2 linked regions of the Struthio camelus genome follow. The protein of the gene in region 1 interacts with the protein of each later gene in a pairwise test. Links are inferred from orthologs where the notes say so. Each region holds a gene or a part of one and is shown on either strand. Other genes may lie near its edges.

Region 1 (3,743 bases):
GGGGGGGGTGGGGTGGGGGACGCTGGGTGTCACCGCAGGATAACTGGGGTAGCTGCAAAGGCCATATAGCTGTGCAAAGCCGCGAGGCTCTTTTCTGGAGCCAGGTGGCTGGAGCAACCTTCAACCCACACACTGCGCCCACACAGGCAGACTTGGTGTGGGCAGAGAGGTCTCTGCTGGCTATTATTTTACATGGCTTAACGTGTCTCTGATAACGAGGCAGAACAGAGCAAAGGAGAAGGGAAACAGCTCCCACCACACCAACTCTGCTGCCACAGGTATAGCAGGACCTGCTGGTGGAGACACAGCTGGCACCAGCCTACGGGGCTTTTCCTCACTGCTCTCAACAACAGAAACGGCTACCCTAAAAAGCAAATACCTCGTGCTAGCAGGCCAACCCTTTGGCAGGTGCAAGAAGTACCTACTCCAGGCCTTTCTCCAGCAGAGCAATGGGTTTTTTTGGCCGTGCAGACACAGAGCAGAGCCGGGAGCCCCGGGTGTGGCGGGGGCTGCGGGGCAAGGGGTGAAGCCCGGGCTCCCTGCAGAGCCGGCCGTGGTGGCAGGGCTCCCGGCCCCGGCTCCTGCTGCTGTCGGCAGGTGCCGGAGCAGCGGGTCTCGGCACACACCAGGGAAATGAGGGGGGCAGTGCCGTGTCCCCACGCCGCTGCCACTGCTGCCCTCCTGTCCCGGGGGGCAGCCCCTCGGCCTTGCTCGCTGCCCCAGGCAGAAGACAGCAGGACTGACTGCCCAGCGGGGAGAAAGCGAGCCCCAAAATAAACGGCCCCTCCTAGGCTCCAGCATATTTCCTTATCTCACACTGGCTACGTTTCAGGAGGAGTATTAGGCAAAAATAATGCAAAGTGGGGAATAAAAAGAATGACCTACTTTGGGGGGAGAAAAAAAAAAAAAAAGCAGCTCTCTGTCAAGGTTTTGCTCTAATTGCCGGTACGGCGTTGCATAACCAAATCGGGAATTACTGCCCCGTGCCCGGCGAGGCGGAGAGCCTGCCCCGGGGCAGCGCCGTGCTGCGGGGCCCGGCCCGGCCCGGCTGGGCTCCCGCGGCCACCCACGGGCACGGAGCCGGGGCCGCCCCCCGGTCACCCCTCCGCCGGCCGGGGCTGCCTGCCCCTGCCCGGGGGCGAGCGGCTGGGGCGGGGGGAGTGGGTGTCCGCAGTCCGCCAGGCGAAGCCGTGCCAGCCGGGGCGGGCTGTGCCGAGCCGAGCCGAGCCGGGCCGGGCCGGGCCGGCAGCCCCGGGCAGCAGAGCACCTGGGCGCAGCCCTGCCCGGCGGGGACGGCGGCACCGTGGGCGGCTGGCGTGGAGGCGCCTCCTGGGGTCAGGCTATAGGGGCGGCCGCCGGTGACCGCCGGGTTATAGCTATAGACATACGTAAATGCAGGCACGCCGGGCTTTGCTCGAGGCGTTGCGAAACCATCCTTGATTTCGGGCTGGGTTTTTGGTTGATTTTTTTTTTTTTCCCCTGCTTCCCCTTTCGTTCTCTTTCCAGCTTCTCCTTTTCTTGGATCTTCGCCTGTCTCCTCCCACAGAACGAGAGAGAGAGAGAGAGAGAGAGAGAGAAAAAAAAAAGGTCACGTATGTTTGGAAAAATATGTAGGTCAGTGGAACATTCCCTGCACTTGTGCAAACGGAGACGGGGAGGGAGAGCTCCTCTGCAGCCCTTTCGCTACCCACCTCCCCAGCCCGTCCCTCCCCAAAGCCCGCCGCTCTCCAAAGAGGGGAGGGGGCACGCAATCCGCAGCTCCCCTTTTCCCCCCTCCCTGACCCATTTTGCACACAAGCGTCGGGTTTGGGCTCCCCCCCCCACCCCTTTCCTTCCCTGGTAGAGAGGAAGCCGGCGCGGGCGAGCACGGCCCTTGCGCGCCGCCGCCAGCCCCCGCGGCCGCGGCTCCCCATGGGCGCGGGGCGTGGGGCGCGCCCCCCCAGCGCCGCCGGCTGAGGGTGCGGGGCGGCAGCCCGCCGGCGACGACGACGACGACGACGAGGAGGAGGAGGAGGACGGCGATGAAGGACCCGCGGAGAGGATGCCCCCGCCTCGCCCGCGGGGCTCCAACTTTGCGGAGAACTATCGGCCCCGCAGTCCCCGCGCCCGCCCTGCCCCTCCCGGCCGCGCATTTAACTTAATGCACCAGCGGGAGCCCGAGCCAGCAGCCCCCCTGGTCCCCCCCGGCCTCCTCCCCCTCCTCCTCCTCCTCCTCCTCCCCCCCCCTCGGCAGCAGCCCGGGCTCCCGGCGGCCTCCCGCTGCCGGCGGAGCCCCTGGCCCCGGCGCGCGTGGGTCCCGCGGCGCCCGGGCAGGCGGCAGCGCGGCATGCGGCGGCCCCGCGCACCATGAGACACGGCACCGGCACCGGCGGCAGGCAGGCGGCGGCGGGCAGCGTCCCCGGCTCGTCGGCTGCGAGGAAGAGTTTGCCGGCTCCCGAGGCCGGCCTGCCGAGCGGCTGGAGCAGCAGCGGCGGCCGCTGCCGCAGCGGTACCGGCAGGCACCGGAAAAGCGGCGGCACCGGCGGCTCCCGCGCCCAGGTGGCCACCGCGGACAGCAGCAGCAGCGGCGGCGGCGGCGGCGGTTGGGGCTTCCCCGCCGCCCTCCCGCAGCCCCGGCACCCCAGGTAACGCGCGGCCCTGCCGCCGGCACCGACCCCCCCCCCCGCCGCGTCCACCCGCGGCGCCCACGCAGGACGCCCACGCGCCGCGCTCGCACCCCCCCCACCTCCCGCGCTCTTCCCGGGCTCCGTGAGTAAGGGCCGGCCCCGCGGCGCCCCTCTTCGCGGCAGGGTGGTTTGGGGTCGGCGCCGCTCCCCGCGCGGGGGGAGAGGGGGGAGCAGCGTGTCCGGCGGCGCGGGCGGCATCGCTTCCGCCGCGGGAAAGTTTCCGCGTGGCCCGCGCTGGGGGCAGCCGGTCCCTGCGGGGACGGGCCCATGCGGCCTGGCCCGGCCGCCAGCGAGACCTGGTGCAGAGCAGGCTTGGCCCATCAGTCTGAGCGAAATAAAATGCCCCCCGCCCCCATCTCGTTTTGGTGTAGTTTGCAATTTGCTGCCGCCATAGGCTCGTTCAGGCTAGACCGGCGCAGGGGCTGAGAAGGGACCTGGCACGGTTCAGGCGAGGAAAACTTCCAGTAAGAGCAATGGGATTTTTGCATGGGTGAAGGTTCGTGGTGGGGACCAGAGGTTGTGTCCTTTGCTGCAGGAGCCCTGCTGCTGAAACCGTGTGCCAGGCTCCTGCTTGCTTTCCTTTCGTGCGCAGAACTGGGGGGGGAGAAATGTTAAATACACGGCCGAGCGGCAACACGGCACGTCTTTCATGCGGAGTTGTGCGGTGAGGCTTTCCTGTATGGTCGCTAGTCTGATTTGGCAATTAGCAAGCACGCTCATCCGTAAACTTTACTGGGTACTCCTTAACTGTCTGCAGGATAGCAGTTTACTTTCACTCAAGTGACTCAGAAATAATTAGCGGTTATAAGCATTGCAGCCAGCAGAGGAACTTTAATCTTTTCATGGTGCTAAATCTCCAGAAGGGCTATGGGATTCCCCCGGAGGAGCATGGCTAACGTGAGCTTTCGGCGCACGCTCAACAAGTGGCTGGATCCTGAAGTGGAAAATTCTCTCGCTCTTACCCCTGCGTGAAATGTTAATTTGTACCCCACCGTGGTTGGAGTTTGTTTGGTGGTACTAAATAATCAGCGTTCACAGTTTCTGGACGGAGCCGGTTCATCCGCTGATCCGTATCTG
Region 2 (3,743 bases), about 75 Mb from region 1:
TTTTCCCACAACATATGGGATTAATATAGTCAATTATGAAAATCCTTATGTAAATAATAGTCTTCCTTTGATTAAAAGTAATCCAACCTTTTTGGTGTACTTTGCACATTTTTCTTTTCACTTTCAGGAAAGGATGTTTTTCTTCTTATAGTAAGAGTAATTTTGTTGTTTCCAGACCCGAATAAACCAACCACTTGCTCTGTAGCTGAAAGATATAAACTTCAACAGTTTAGATATTAACCAATAGGACAGATGATGAAAGAATGCCATATTCTTTGCAACCCTTGAGATACTGAATTGTAAAAGAGAAGCATTCAATGGAACTAGCCTTCAGTGACTAAGTCCTAGGTTAACACATGCATCTGCAGGGTAATCTACGTGCACCCTTTATTTAGGCATGAAGTCAGTGAGCCTGCTGTTCCATCTTTATTAGCACATCTTGTTAAGTCGAAAAGAACCCCTACGACTAATAATAGGCGCGAGCTCTGCAAGTCCACTGTACAGTACACCTGGAGAAGCAGCTTCCTTCACATAGGTCCCCGATCATCTGGTTCCGGCCTTACTGCTGATGAGCAACACCAGCTGCACTGTACATGCAAATTCCCTCACATGGGAGTTCAACAGGTAGCAGCAGGCACGTGCTCAGCCCATTCAGATGGCTCAGGCGAGGAAGTCTGAGGCCTTGGCAACAGTCTGTTCTGCCGCACACAGACCTGGAACTGGGCGGGTAGAGGCTACATCAACATCAACACGTTGGGCTCCTCAGTAAGAGCGGTTCTGTCAAGTGAATCCCCGTGTTGCTGAGGTCCCAACGTCCGCGCTGCAGGTGTCCTAGAGGCTGTATTTCAGACTAGCTCCAGTGAGGTCCCAGGGAGCGAGAGCCCGTTAGCAGTTGGGCCACGTTAAGTGAGCTCTTAACAGCGCTTCTTTAGGTTTCACGCAAAAAGAATATGGTTCGCGTGCTCCCAGACCACTCCAGGATGTGAACCAAACCACGGCGAGGACGACGGGCAGATTCGCTTCAAAAGCGCGCTCCCGATAAGCTGAACACACAACTACACCCCGAGCATCTACTGGAACCCAGGTCCATTCACCCAGTTTCACCTGTTAGTCAAAGCTAACTCTATTTTTGTGTGTCAGCGCGTACTCGTGCGCCTGCCTGTTCTGTGCCCCGCTCTGAGGGGCAGCCGCACGCCCAGAAGGCCGCAGGCGGCCAACCGCCTTCACCCGTTGTTCCTTCCCGGCCCCTCCTGTGGCGGGGGGGAGGCCCCAGCGGCCGTTGGTCCCCTCCCCCCGCACCCTGCGCGCGCCGGGCGGCAGCACCTCCCCCTCCCGCCTCCGCCCGGCCGGAAGTCTCGCGAGAAGTGTCCTGCCGGGCAGGGCAGGGCTGGGGCGGGGCGGGGCGGGGCGGGGGGAGGGTATGGCGCCGGCGGGGGCGCTGCTGAGGCGGCGCCGGTGACGGGAGGAGGGGAGGGAGCCTGTGGAGGCGCTTGCGGACCTTCTCCTCCCCTCCCCCTTTCCCCCCCAACCCCAACCCCGCGCCGAGCAGGGGGGCAGGACGGGCGGTTTCTGCTCACCTTAGTTTACCTCCTGCATGGTGGCGGGGGCGCTGTGGAGCGGGGCACGGGCAGCCCGCCATGGCCGAGGCAGGAGCGGGAAACGCCGAGGGGGCCGAGGAGGAGCGGCGGGCGACGGAAGGTGGGGGGGGGGGGAGCGACGGGGGCGCGCGCGCCGCGGCGGGGGGAGCAGCCGTTGGAGGCGGGGGGCGGGGTGCCCCCGGCGGCGGGGTAACGGCTGTGGGGGGCGAAAGAAGGGGGGGGAGGTGTTGTAACGGGCGGGACTCGCGCGCGGGTGTCGGGGTGTCCGTGGGTGCGTGAGTGGTGCGGGGTGGGGGTGTGTGGGGTGTGGTAGGGGAGGAGGGGGCTTGTGTGCCCCTTGGTGCCGGGGGGGGGCGGGGAGGTAAGGGCGCGTGTCTGCAGTCCGTGCGTGGCCGTTGTTGGTGGTGGTGGGGGTGTAACCTTCCCGCGTGGGTAGGAGCCCCCTTAGGCCGCTGTTTTCCCTCAGCGCAGCGGTTATGCTTCCAGCATGGGGCTGTGTATTCTGAATTGGGGCTGTTCATACTCTGGCCCCCAGCGTGTTGACCTGGACTCGAGTAACGATTTCTCCCGTTTAGTTCAGTTAGGGTACAGTTAGTTTAAGTCTAGTTAAGGTACACAGTGGTGTTAGGTTGTGGGCTCCCAAAGAAACGTTTACACTCTGCTTAGGTTTGTTATTACTGTTACAGATGTGTCATCATACCTCAGTGATCTGCACTAAAAATATTTTTCTTTCTGTGTATTTAACTTAGTATGTAATACACACTTTCTGATATACAACTAATTGTTTTATGTGTCCCTAATGTGTTAGTATTTTTTTTTCCTGCAGGCGGATGTAATTCAGACTTTTGAGTGTAGTGAATTTGGCTTCTCTGTGTGAGTGTGTGTGTGTGCACTTGTATAGAGGCAGAGGTTTGACATTCCTCCTCCTTCATAAGTTTCTGGTGCTAAAACGGGGCTAGTGTTAAGCCAGCAGCAGCTGTTTGTGCTCCTCCTGCTGCAGGAATGAGTATGTTGCTTCCTCCTTTCAAAATGTTGATCTGAGGAGGAAAAAAAAAGATGTTTTGCACGGAGTTTTGAGCTACAGAAGTGAGCAAATCGTTCATAAGTCATCATTGCTGTTCTGTTTAGTTAGCACCAGTTCTTCTGGGTTTGTTGTTGTCTTTTTAATGTGTATTTGGGGGATTCGTATGTATGTGGTTTTTTTTTTTTTATATATATGTGGGGGTTCTGGTTGTCTCAGTAGTTGGTATTTTTTCCATCTCTGTGTTTCTGAATTATGAAGATTAGTTGTTGCTTGGTTGTTTAAATACTGGTATAATTTTGTAATAAGTAATCTAGTTTTTGAAAGTAAAGGTTTTTTTGTAGGGGTTTTTTCTTTTTGCTGTCTATGAAATTGTGTTAAGAATTTGTTTCTGTATCATACACATATTGTAAGAAAAGGAAATAATCTAAATGAAGAAAAATCAAAATATGTGGACTTTTCCATGTGAAAGTATCCATGGGAAAGCAATGAACAGTAGGTTTTTATGTTATATTGTGAAAGAATTCCGCCTGCTCTGATTTCTTTTGTTATTTATGCTTCTACTAATTCTTCTAACATATTTTGAAGAAACAGAGTCTCTTTCTGTTAATCAATTAACATTTTAAAAGGTGTAAATTTTTTAACTTGTATAAAGGACCTAAAGATTGGAATAGGTCAGCTTAGCAGTTTTTCATTTTAACAACATCTTTTTCTTACTATTGCATATTAGGAAAAGCAAACTCCGGACTGGGCAGTTCACATCAGCTAAAGAGTCTAATTCACTGTAAGAAGAAAATCACTTTGTGGGTGATTGTGGGAAGTGAATCAATATCAATACTCTGAAAATTCCCTTCTTTGACAACTGGGCCCGTTAAACCACGGAAGTTCTACTGCAAACTTGACAAAGTTATCATTTTACTCAAAAAAAAAAAAAAATTTGGTTCTAAAACTTACAAGAGAGCTGCTAGCCTCAATTTCTTTAGCAATATATGATCGGAGAGATTTTTTTTTTTTTTAGTAATGAACTAAGATACATGAGACTCTAGATTTCTATCAGTGACCTGATTTGACCCTGGAAGTGTCTGGGGAAGCAGGGTGACCTTTCAAGGGCTTGTGTGGTATCT

Evidence for each region. The genes of interacting proteins can lie anywhere in the genome.
Region 2: the proteins of NPAS2 (region 1) and BMAL2 interact in binary tests that used the Homo sapiens proteins (3 or more experiments, as listed by UniProt). The link is inferred for Struthio camelus from reciprocal best matches to the Homo sapiens genes NPAS2 and BMAL2.

The regions. Positions count from the first base shown.
Region 1 is NC_090942.1:152,097,669-152,101,411, forward strand, and holds the start of NPAS2 (neuronal PAS domain-containing protein 2), read left to right. Parts: upstream 1-1,210; 5' UTR 1,211-2,346; coding exon 2,347-2,624; intron 2,625-3,743. UniProt on the Homo sapiens protein: Transcriptional activator which forms a core component of the circadian clock.
Region 2 is NC_090942.1:77,266,492-77,270,234, forward strand, and holds the start of BMAL2 (basic helix-loop-helix ARNT-like protein 2), read left to right. Parts: upstream 1-1,437; 5' UTR 1,438-1,637; coding exon 1,638-1,698; intron 1,699-3,743. UniProt on the Homo sapiens protein: Transcriptional activator which forms a core component of the circadian clock.